Linked DNA regions of Caenorhabditis elegans. The protein of the gene in region 3 interacts with the protein of the main gene of each other region in a pairwise test. Each region holds a gene or a part of one and is shown on either strand. Other genes may lie near its edges. The genes, in order: cpl-1, pals-17 and eif-3.D.

Region 1 (4,853 bases), on a different chromosome or scaffold from region 3:
TTTGAGAGGCAGGGAAACTTATAGCTCGATGAATAACACGCATAGAATGAATTCGAGGGGAAAAAGTAAAGAGGTGGATAATTATTGAAAAATACGTGCAAATTGAACCCCTTGGGAAAGAACATCAGTCTACTTTCTGAGGTTAGAAACTGCGAAAAAAGAGCATAGGTCCCACCGAGATTTGAACTCGGGTCGCAGGATTCAGAGTCCTGAGTGCTAACCGCTACACCATGGAACCGCGGTGTACAGCGGCGGCAAATGTTTGTAATGAGAGAGGGTTAACAATCGACAACCGCTGCTTTGCAATGTTTATTTAATTTTTCGTGGGGGACTTTGATTGACTAGGCAAGCAGGCAGGGGCGTAGACACGCTAAAAAGGACGTCACAACTTGGTGTCTGAATTAAAAGCGAAAACGAAAACTATAATTCAAATTTGTTACGAGCTAATTATATGCTCTTACTATTTCCTCACTTGTTTTTAAGACAGAAAAATGCAAAACTAAATTCAAAAATCGTTTATGTACACCACAATTTGAAATACATAATTATAGATATTAGAGAAATTCCAAAAAAATACAGAAAACGAGGTAAAGCTTGACAGAAAAGAGTCAAAGAATTGCAATTCGGGGCTACAATTAAATTTTCCAAAAAAAAAAATTAATTATTAAGTTCAAATTTAGACCAATGGATAACTGGCCTTGGTGGCGACTCCGCAGTGATTGTTGCGGTTACGGGCGATACGGATGTATCCCTTCTCTCCCCATCCAGCTCCCCACGAGTTCTTGACAATCCAGTAGTCTCCGTGCTCTGGGTCGGTTCCGTATCCGACGAGAAGCACTCCGTGGTCGAGCTCTTCGGATGAGCATTCCTCATCGTAGTAGACTCCTGAAAATGGATGATATTCGGTGGAACTTAGGCTGAGTTTATGCTGTAGGCCTAGTTTTAGGCCTAGGCTTAGGCTTTGGTTTAGGCATTTGTTTAAGCTTAGGCTTATGAGCTAGGCTTGGGATTAGACTCAGGCTTAGTCTTGAGCTACGGCTTAGACTCAGGCTTAGGCTTAAGCTTAGGCTCAGGCTTAGGCTTAGGCTTTCGCTTAGGTTTAGGCTTAGTCTTAGGCGTAGGCTTAGGCTTAGGCGTAAGCTTAGGCTTAGGCTTAGGCTTAATCGTAAGCTTAAGCTTAGACTTTGGCCTAGGCTGATGGGGTTATACTTTGCTACTAAACAATTTATAAATTCCTTCACCACTTTCACATTCAAGTTCGAACCCAAACTATTATTGTCAAGAGGGTATCATTCAAAAACACGAGTTCTCTTATCACTATTGCCCTCTCTGTCTCTGATGAAAAACCCGAGTAACTAGCTTTCTTATCATTATCATCCAAAATGCAAATAAAACTGACCCGTCAATAAAAACTAGTACCCCCCCCCCCCTCACATCTTCCCACAAAACATACCCTTCTTGTAAAGTTGGAAGCTGCGGTGTCCGGCGTCGATAGCAATAGAGATTGGTCCTTGGGTGGCGACAGCGATCTTAAGTTGCTCCTCATCTCCTTCTGGGGTGTCAACGTATCCCTTATCATCAGCTCCGACGGTCTTCTTGTTGAAGTGACACTTCATGTCACGTCCCTTGTATGGGTATGACTCCTCGGTGTCGACACCATGGTTGTCACGAATGTACTCGAAAGCTTGATCCATGAGTCCTCCGTTGCATCCGTGGTTTCCGTACTTGGTAGAGCAGTCGACGAGGTTTTGCTCGGAAAGGGAGACGAGTTGTCCCAGCTTGCGAGCGTGTTGTCCTTCGAGGGCTCCGGTGGCGGAGAAGGCCCAGCACGATCCGCACATTCCTTGGTTCTTGACATCAGTGACGAGGTGGGTATCACGCCAGTCAACCTCATCTGGGACCTGAAAATTGAATAGGTTTAGGCTTGAGTTTAAGCTGAGGGTTTGGTTTAGCCGAAAGCTTGGGAAGCTCAAGCTTATGCTAAGGCTTAGGCATAGACCAAACTTCTTCCTGGACTGAGCCAAATCCATCAACTCACAATCAGTTTCAAGCCTAGGCTTAGGCTTAGGCTGAGGCTTAGGCTGAGGCTTAAGCTTAGGCGTACACTTAGACGTAGGCTTAGATTTAGGCTTAGACTGAAGCTCAGGCTTAGGCTTATCCCCTAGAAGTTCATCACAGCTCTAAGCTCTGGTGTTCAAATTTCAGCAAAAACAGTTCTAACCATTTGAATCTTGTTTTTAAACATTTCGGTGACCAAAACATTGCGAAATTCAATTTTCAAGCGTATCAATCATCAGAGATGATAATTCAAAAAATACGGTCAGCGAAGAATTATTTTTATCGGTCGTTGAAAACGTTTTTGTTTATGCAAATAGTTTTATAGTTTTGATCGACGAGAAAGTTAGTGTCTGGACCCCAACAAAACCCCTCTCAAAAAATTACCTGAACATTGAATGGAGCCAAGAAAGAGGAGGAGTTCTTGATTCTGGAGTCACCGAAGAGACGTCTGTAACCGTTGAGTTTGCGGTATTGGCTGAATGGCTGAAAAAAACAAGAGTTTGAAAATCAAATGACCTTCGTGTGTTTTGTCAGTGTGGTGGTGTGATAAGCCAGCTGTTGGTCAGTCACGAGACGAGGATTTCATATCTTTATCTTTTTTTTTCTCGCTGGGTGAGATTTTGATAGTGGAACGAGACAGAGAACAGCTTTTTGAAGTTTTTATAGGGGGTATTTATTTTCTTATCTGTCGAAATTAGGAAATGCAAAAAAGGAAAACTTGAAAATCCTCGCTTTAGGAACTTGGGACTCCGGAGCTCCAAACTTGAGATCCTTGGGCTCAAAAATTGTGATCCCGGAGCTCGTTACTTAAGAACCGGAGCTTGAATTTTGAAACCCCGCAGCTCAAAACTTGGGACCCTGGAGCTAGAGACTTCGGTCCTCGGAGCCAGAATTTGAGTCCCCGGAGCTCAAAACGTCGGACGCCGCAGCTCATGGTGCATTGAAATGCATATTCTTACCAAGTCAGCAATATGATTCAATCCCATCTCGAATGTCTTTCTTCCGAGTCGGTGATCTCTGTTGTGATTCTCAATATGGATCATATTCTTGACAAATGCCTCCATATAGGTCTGCTCCTCGCTCTCCGAGTACTCCTTATCAAAGTCCTCCTTATAGTCGTCCCATTTCTCGATGGCCGACTCGATTTGACGGGACAGCTTGGCCGAATTGACGGCGACGACGGCGGCAACCAGTGCCAGAAGAATGAATCGGTTCATTCTGGAATTTTATAACATTTAAAATTAATTTGAAAATTCTACAAAAAGCAGGGGAAACACGAAAAAATATGGAAATGGAATAGGAACTACAATGAACACCTCCCGAGGCGAGTTTATGAAGGATCCTAAAGTAGGCGGGGACAGCGTCAATCAGTGCCAGGACGAGTGTGAGGAGAGAGATGGAGAGGCGGAGAGAAACAGAGAGCGATCAAACCATCAGGTTATCAGTCAACTGATAATAGAGGGAAATTAGGGGTGAAAGTGCTTGCTCCGGTGCTAGGAGCTCAGAATAGTACAGAAATTGGATGATTATCATAATAGGGTTAAGTCAGATAAGCATGTGATCAGGGATAAGTGTTTCGAAAAACGGAAGTTTTCGAGCGGAAGTTTCCGAACTTCTTGAAGTATTGAACATACAGAAAATTAAGGTTTTTGTAGTTTGTAGTGCCCCCAAAGTTTAGAAAACTACCAGTTTTGCTAGAAATGTTTCCAAAACCGAGAAAATTGTTCGCCTTTTAAAAGTGTCAATTATTGGAGTTTAACCGCAAAATTCCAGCAATTTGTGTCAATTTCTACTGTTTTATTGACGTTAGGAACAGAAACTTCCATCAAATTTTGCTCTTTTTGAAGTATGAACTTTTTTTTCGGTTTTTTTTCCAGAAATTTTCAAAACTTTTCATTACGAAATTCGGTAGTTTTTAACGATTTTGGGCCCCAAAAAGCAATGTCTCAAAATTTTATAAGTGGTCCTTGACTGATGTCGGCTGCTTTTTTAGCAAAGGTCAAACTACAAAGTGAGTCAAGTTTTTTAAAATTAACTTTGAAAAAACAGGGGGAAAAAGGACAGAAAACAAACAAACAATTAGGTCACTTTAACAGGTGGCCAACAATGTAAATAAATTGTTTCGCATTCTAAAGGATTTCCAAACAAAAAACTTAGGAATGAAAAACGAGAAAATAAATGTCATCAGCAAGAAATTACATAATCATCCAGCTATTGATAAGATACCTGGTGAAGACGGTGAGATAATCTACGGGAATAAGGAATGATAATGGGAACCTGTTTTTTTTTTGGAGTGGGGAATGGCAGACTTGAGATGTTCTAAGCAATTTTTTGAAATCGACAATTGTTTAATCTTGGGGAAATAGGGAAAAAAAGAGATTTCGAAATTTGGAAATTTCAAAATCTCAAAAAATGCTGTAACTCGTATGAAGTTTTTTATAACTTTCAGCACGTGAATTTCGAAATTCAGTAATTTAAAAACTCAAAATTCAACTAACTAACAAGAAAAATGTAAGAAAAATTATAATTGGAAGTTCTCACTTTCAGACATTTTTCGATACAAAATTCAAAGTTTCAGCACCTAAAAAATCGTAAAAAAATGAATTTAATTTATTTTCAAATAAAAAAAAATTGAAACTTCAGATATTTTCCCATAAGAAATTCAGATTTTGAGACGTGTTCACATAAAAATTTAAATTTCAGACGGGAAAGGAAAATCGTTACGTATTTTTCAATAGAATTTCATAAGTTCATACAATTCTAAACATGGAAGAAATAAAAATGCCGCCAATTTC
Region 2 (3,583 bases), 7.6 Mb from region 3:
GCAAAAATAATTCAATGGCACCGGTAGATGAGACATTTTTAACCAAAAAGTTTGGCTTACAAACTATGATAAATTAAAAAAAACAAAAAATAATACGACAATATCTTACTATTAGGATAAATTTTCCAAAGTGAGAACCCTATTTTCTGTCATCGACTTTTATATACATATGCTCCTAGAACTGTTATCAGTTATGGTATCCATTCTGGGTGATAAACTTTGATGACGATTGTACAGCCGACTGAAATGTATCACCTTGTAGAAGTGTTGATAAGCAACTACTTCTCTTCAATTTTCTGCGTTTCCATAACTCTCTATTTGAAAAATCAAAAAATGTGGTGCGAATACTCAAGTGACGTATTAGTTTTAGTCGAAACAAATTTAACATGATTGTTTCATTAAAACATCAATAACTTATCTGAAACTTTGAAATAGTTCCCTACAACACAGTCAAACTAGTCTTGCATGAAGACCTTGGTGGAAAATACGGCATATGTATGTAAACAACACGTTAAAGATCTTTATTTAAGACCATATTAGGTAAGTTTTCAGATAAAAAGTCGGTAATTGTTTACAAAAAAAAACAAAAAGATATTCTTCATTATACATTAAAATCCGAACAAATATCAGCCATTTCCTGTAAATCGAGATGAAAGTTTCTCAGATCATCCTTGTACAGCTCCACTCTCTCGGCATCGTTATTGCTACAAGCTATTTGGTAATGAACGCACAAAGATCGGAGATTCGAGTAGTTAACAAGTTCTCCCATTTTGAGAACTTGGTCCTGTAATTTAAATAAATGTTTACTGAATCAATAAATTGTACATACCGATAACTTTTCAAATATATCCGCATCAATGTAGCTAGATCTTATCATAAAACTTTCAAAGTACTCAGTTTCTTCCTCAAATTGTTGAATTTGGCGTTCTATGCTATCGGAGAACAACTCATCCGAAATACCATTTTCCACTGCATTGTCCACGTCCTTCTCAATTTCACGCAGTAAACGGACCATTTTTGAAAATAACCTCATAGCTTCGTTTCTGTTCTTGAGCTTTAGAAAAGCAATGTAGTTTTTCCTCTTATTCTCTAATTTGTGAATTTTCAAGTTGTGTTCCTGCTCCAAATGTTCCCTGTTAAAATTACAAAGTATGGTTTTACTTTAAGGGTAGCAATAAATACTTCACAATTGGACTGGTAAGACTATTTGTAAAATATCCAATAGTGTTGATAATAATGAGCTATATTCAAAAGCAACGCGTAAAAGGTGAGCTGTTTTAGGAATAATCTAACAATATATTCGAATTGTTCAGTAAGTGTGCAAGATCTGTTAGGCGGACTTTGGTTAGACCAGGGAGTGGTGAACTATGCATATTTGTGAAAAAACGCAAGTTCCAAATCTGTTTTACCTGGCACTGGCCTGTAAGTTTGAAGGCCGTATATGTCAAATAGCACGCCGTCTATAAAAACACTAACCTTTCATCCTCAAAATTTTTTAGCATTTCCTCTTCCCTTGTTTTCTGGAATGCTCCATTTTTGTTTGAATATAACTTCCTGTTTCCGGGCTAAAAGTTGAAACTGTAAGTATTATTATATATTCTCAAAATAAAATATACCTTAAACTCATAATATTCAGGTTCCATGTAGTTAAGGTTTGACTGCTCTGGTCTAGCAAAATCGCCTTGCCTCTCCATAAAAAACTGTCTGAAGGGTGAAAAGCATTATTTAGACTTTTGAGACTTATGGGTTTTACATTTCTTTTCCTTCCGAAAATGTTCTTCTCAGCAGGTTGCTTTGTTGAGCTGAAAACTTAATTTTACAATTTTGACTTGGTCAAAGGAACAAACCACTGATAGACTTTTCACTAGAAAACTTTGATGAAAAATTCATTTTTGGCGAGGTGGTTCTGTAAGTTAAATTTGGAAAAAACGAGGCACTAAATTCCAAAAAACGGACGTGTGTGAGAGTTACTAGTACTTTTATGCTCAAGAAGTTTCGTTAGAAAATTTCATAACTGAAACGTTTTGTTTCGAAAATGAACATTGAGGAGGTCGCAAGTAAGTTTCAAAAGTTCATGCTAGTTGTCTATAAAATGTACTAAAAATAAAGACAGAGCAACCAACTGGGAGTATTATGAAAGGTCTATAATTATGTAGTAATGTATTGAATCAATGTCACTACATGACGGGTGCTCACTGCTTTGTTTTGATAATGGTAAGAAAATGAATCACACTTGTATGTGTGTTTTAGACTACGAATCTGCAAACTTATTAGTTGACGGAATTTCTCCAAGTTCTACCTTTCCGTGGCTACCGGAGGACAGTGCGTTGGCTTCTGGCTCGCGTTATGCATGATCTACCAGTGAGAACACTTTGGGAACTAACAACTAATTTAGAAAGGAACGAAACAATCCTTTCAAGTTGTAAGACATTCAAAAATGTCTTGAGCAAAAATTTTTCGGAAATTCATGGGAAAATGCGAAAATCTGGACCCAAAAAATATCAGCGGCCGACATCTCACGAGTTTTGCACCCCGTTGCGTTTACCGTGACAGTGCGGCACGCCGTCAGCAACGTAAGACGATGAGGGCGTAGTAACTGTCACGGTAAACACAGCAAGCCGCGAAACTCGTGAGATGTCGGCGGATAATATGTTGGGTCCCGATTTTTGCATTTTCCGGGGATTTTCCAAAAAAGTATACTTCAAAGAATAATTGTTTAAACTGTACCCCACTAGAGGGACTAGACCTTTAAGCAGTCCTAGTTTATTGTCTTAAATTATAGTACTCGGTACTATTACTAAGAATATAAAAGAAAACGTCACGACCAGAAGTCATGGAAAATTTTTAAATCCCCTATTTTTCACACATGAGAATTTTGAAGCAATATATGAACATCCGAAAAGAGTAGAAAAATGACGTAGGTGCAGGAAACTTTTTCAAGTGATAACAACCCTTTTAAGGAAAATGAAATGTGTAGATAACATAATTTTTTTTCTTTTTTTCTCCTTTTTGCTCCACTTTATCGTCGTCTCTCTCGTTTTTGTTCCGCACAGCAACCTAGGGCACGAATTTTTAACCAATGAGAATCCTGAAGTGTGCAGTGGGGCGCGCTTGCATTCTGAATCAAAAGTGAAACTTTGAAAGTGTTTTTCCTGTTTTTCATCGATATTTTTGGGAGAATAAGGAAATATTTATCAGAAAAACACATTCCAGTAGATTTTTTGAATATATGGTTGCAGTTTTTAGTTCAGAAAATACAAAGAACGCATATTTCGTTTTTTTTTTTGAATTTTCAAAAAATATCTAATGGCAGGGTATTTATCGGAAATAAAACAAACATTATGGGTCTCCTATTTTGTAAAATGCATCTTAGTACTATCAAAGTATAGTAATTTTTAGATTTCACAGAAAAATAGTGCATATTTGTTCTATTTCAATGTACATCCTATTTATGTTTCTCAAAATGCTTCCAATTGCTGTTATTTTGTGCCATTGCGCTATGAAAATTGAATTTTTAGGTTGTACAGTACTGAAAATGATAAATAAAACAGCACACTCCTCACAGCTTGTTTTTGAATTTAAA
Region 3 (4,021 bases):
AAAAAGGTGGACGCGGAGAAATTGGTCAATTTGCCGAATCTTGATAAGTACAATGTGAAAGAGAAGAGATTGAATATTTTCCTGCATTCTATTAGGAATCAGTGAGTTTATCTAGCAATTTTAAATATTAATTTTGAAATTACAGCTGGATGGATTTGGAAGCACGTTTACATTTAACTCCAACTCGTCGTGATATTCTCAGTCGAGTAGCTTCGACATTCCAACTCGATTCGGAAAATATCACTGGCTGGACAAAGAGAGAAATTAATTCTATCGTTATTGCTCTTTTCATTGTGTAAGTTCTAAAAAATGCATAATTAAAAAATTTCAAAATGTTGAAATTTAGGATTTGCCTCGTCGATGTTGAGCTTGGAGACGACTACTTCAAGAAGGACAACGCTTCTCCAGAACTTACTGCGATTTCCAATGAACTATGCGGGCTTGATTCTTTCCAAATTACCGGTTTGCACGCTGCGATTAAATCCCAATGTTGAATGATATTTTGAATAAAGTTTATCTTATCAGAACCAAGTTTAATTAACAAGAGACAATAATTAGAAAAGCGAATACAAGAAATTGTCAGAAACCGGGGACTTTATTGATCGTCATCCGAGTTCTCCTCGTCGGAGCTCTCGCGCTCGCTTTCGAAAGTTCCTTCTGGAAGCGAATAAAGGCGGATAACCGGAGATTGTGGATCCTTCATCAACAAGTACTTTCCTGGTTTTTGCTTCATACAACTGGAAAAAATTGATTACCAGTCTGGATGTGCTCGTTCTTACCTGTCAATGACGCATCTAAGAATTCCCCAGCAGTTATCCATGTTCAAGGCGATGTTGCTAGCAAACTCCGTTGGCTTTACGTATTGGGTGAGTAGAATAGAATGATTTTGTGTGCTGCGTGCATTGTTACGAGACACATATCCGAGCTTCATTGTGTCGGAACCGGCAAGAAGTGCTTGCAGAGTCCACTTTGCAACCTTAGCTGAGTTGTTCTTGATTTCGGTGGCCATTACGGCTCCCTTTTGAACATCAAGCTTTGTTCTCCAGTCGACACCTCCAGATTGTGTGCTATCCCATTCGTTGAATGCCTTGATTGTAAGAGTCTGAGTCTCATTTCCGAGTCCGTGAATAACTCCATCCAATTCTGTACGGCAAACCAACTCAACTGGTTTTCCATCAACTCCGTTTCCAAGATTCCACTTACGGTATCTAAAAATTGTTTAATTAAAGATCAAAATTTTAAACGAAAATCCTACTTGTAAGCAGTTCCTGACTCTCCAGTCTCCTCGTCTTCGAATGGAGCACGAGCATTCTTGAAGGTGAATCCTGCGTCGTTTCTCTTGACGACTTGACGACGGAAGTTTTGGTTAATGTAGAATGCCTCGGTCGCAAGATCCTTGGCATTGTTGATACCATTTCCGTCGAATGATGGTGGTTCGGCACTAGTCTCGGAAACAGTAAGGGTCTCAACTGGATTCAAAATATCTCTAGTGTTTCTCTTATCGAAGAAAAGTTTGTCTCCGACTCTGTAGGCAACAATGTCCCACGAGTAGACCGAACGAGGAGCAGTCATCAAAGTAGCAAGAATTATGTCTGTTCCGAAAACATTTCCAGCACCACCTTGAGCAAGTTCTTGAATTACAGGATCTTCCGTTGTGGTGACATTGTAGAACACGCCAGCGCATCTTTGAAGCGGAATAGAATTTTTCACAGAAACGCGATCAATAGTCTTGTCATAGTATTGAAGACTTCCATACTGGTGATCCCCAATGTCGTCTCCTCCTGGGATGTTAGGAAGAGCAAGTTTGGAAAACGCACTAAGATTCATTTCTTCAAGAACAACCCATTCCGGTCTAACTTGAACAGATGGAAGACGTTCCTTCGGCCGATCACCTCCGAATCGACCACCTTGTCCGCGTTGTCCTTGACGAGCATTTCCTCCACGACGTTGCCACATCTTGAAGGCACGTTGTTGCTCCTTGGCGATACTTCTCTTCATTCTCAAATTCGTTGACTGGTTCACCATCTCACGCTTCTCATTTTCTTTCTGCATCATCTTACGAAGATGCATTTGGCGGACACGGAAGTTGCGCTGTGGATTGCGAGCCATTGGTTTAGAAGTGTCAACAAGTTGGAAGTTATGCTCATCCATTCCATGAATGTAATCGAACTGACTTCCAGCGTTGGCGGCGGATCCATAGACACGCTCATTGTATCTAAATTTCAAGTTTTAACGATACCACTCATTTGTTGTATAAAAACCTCTCATTTCCTCTTCTATAGAATCTATCAACACCAATCCAGTCGGCAACACGTCCGATGCGATCAGCCTTGTTGAATTGTTGGAATGGAACAGGCTCATCAGCAGAGGAACTCGACGCCAATGGACCCCATCCGACTGTATTATCAGCCAATGACAACAGTTCAAACTTTGGTAGAGCCATACCTGAAATAAATATAAAATAGTGTTGAAATGCAATTTTAGGCCAAACGATAGCAACGACAAAAGAAATGGAAATGGAACAATAACATTCGAGAGCATTTAAAATATAGTTACAAGACTTTCATGAATTTATATAATTCACAAAACAGAAAAATTAATCAGAAAATCGTATAAAAATGTGAAAAATCCGACAAGAACGCGTGTAAAAATAAAAATGTTTAATCGAGAAATGCGCAAGGTACACGAAACGCGCCAACATTCGCCACTTGACGCCACCTCAATTTTTGGTTTTTATTTGTTTTCTCCAAATTTCCTCGCATAATCAGAATATAATTCCAGAAACGGGTCCACCTTGATGAATACAGTGCCACAAAGTATTCGAGTCATTCAGCTCTATCGACAGATTTTAAAATTGGGCAAGAATTGGAAAGCAAAAGAAGAAACAAATACTGTAGTTGAGAGACAACAAATTATCACTGAAGCTCGTCAGGCTTTCCGAGAGCACCAGCAGGTATTCTCGTTCTCAATATTGATGTGGAAACTAATTATATGGGATTTTTCAGGAAAAAGACCCAATAGTGATTGGCAAACTAATCTATCAAGCGGAGCAGCGAATCGTTCAAGCAGAACACTACGGAATTCCACATGCAAGACCCGAATACCTTCCTCCTGATACCGCTTATTCAGTCAGAACGAAAACGCAAAATTTTCACAAAATGTCAAGAAAACGGAGAACTGAGCGGGATGGTCCACTCAGAAAAGGAGACAACTGAACTCCAGTTCAAAAGATTTTATTGTAGCGCTTCAAAAATTCCGGATCAGCTAATGAAGGATATTGTAGAACAATGCATAAAAGATTCGGAATATGCTGAGAATCTTTGCAACAATGTCTTCAATAATGAAATTGTCACATCGCATGAAATTCGTTACAAATTTCAAATAAATGTTCTTAAAAACTTGATTTCTGAACTTCAAGCCAATAATGTTGTTGTTCCTGATTCAATGTTCGACAGGCTTGGTTCTCTAATGGGAATGAAAGAAGGAGAATATGTGGAAAGAGTAAGTTTTTAAACAATTCGTCAGCTCAAATGGAAATAATTTCATATTTTCAGGTTTACCTAACCGATGGAGGCGACAAAGTTCTAGCGAAATTCTCGGAAGCTGTAAATCAACTATCAATGGGTACAACTGGCTTATCAGTTTGGCAAGCTTCTTGTGATCTCGCCAATCTTTTTCGCTTGATTCCCTCCGAGTACAATCGAATATTAGAACTCGGGTCAGGATGTGGTGTTAGTGGAATTGCAATTGCAAAAATGAATGATTGTTGTGTGACGCTCACTGATTATGATGATAATGTGCTGAATCTTTTAGAAGAGAATATTGCGAAAAACGATCTGAAGAGTGATACTGAAGGTATTTTTTGAGAAATAAAATCGACTCCTTCCGTATTTCAAATTTAAAAATATTTAGAATCTAAATTGTAGATTCGTCAGCCAACAACAATCAAGCAACAGTTCGCTCACTCAATTGGTGTGATTTTGATTTCTCTGAATGGAAGGAACCCACGGATTTGATTATC

The links.
Region 1: the proteins of eif-3.D (region 3) and cpl-1 interact in a two-hybrid assay, tested with the Caenorhabditis elegans proteins (one large-scale study listed by BioGRID).
Region 2: the proteins of eif-3.D (region 3) and pals-17 interact in a two-hybrid assay, tested with the Caenorhabditis elegans proteins (one large-scale study listed by BioGRID).

Annotation. Positions count from the first base shown.
Region 1 is NC_003283.11:16,592,071-16,596,923, forward strand, and holds cpl-1 (Cathepsin L-like), read right to left. Parts: upstream 3,277-4,853; 5' UTR 3,276-3,276; coding exon 3,018-3,275; intron 2,542-3,017; coding exon 2,443-2,541; intron 1,902-2,442; coding exon 1,454-1,901; intron 886-1,453; coding exon 677-885; 3' UTR 502-676; downstream 1-501. UniProt on the Caenorhabditis elegans protein: Cysteine protease which plays an essential role in the degradation of proteins in lysosomes.
Region 2 is NC_003281.10:1,389,945-1,393,527, forward strand, and holds pals-17 (Protein containing ALS2cr12 (ALS2CR12) signature), read right to left. Parts: upstream 1,909-3,583; 5' UTR 1,891-1,908; coding exon 1,848-1,890; intron 1,803-1,847; coding exon 1,754-1,802; intron 1,705-1,753; coding exon 1,617-1,704; intron 1,566-1,616; coding exon 1,477-1,565; intron 1,134-1,476; coding exon 830-1,133; intron 785-829; coding exon 602-784; 3' UTR 506-601; downstream 1-505.
Region 3 is NC_003281.10:8,969,134-8,973,154, forward strand, and holds eif-3.D (Eukaryotic translation initiation factor 3 subunit D), read right to left. Parts: upstream 2,446-4,021; 5' UTR 2,444-2,445; coding exon 2,262-2,443; intron 2,216-2,261; coding exon 1,256-2,215; intron 1,209-1,255; coding exon 780-1,208; intron 738-779; coding exon 596-737; 3' UTR 502-595; downstream 1-501. Other genes in the region: Putative RNA polymerase II subunit B1 CTD phosphatase rpap-2, read left to right, coding at 1-101, 146-295, 347-494; R08D7.4 (Complex1_LYR_dom domain-containing protein), read left to right, coding at 3,088-3,501, 3,555-3,855, 3,927-4,021.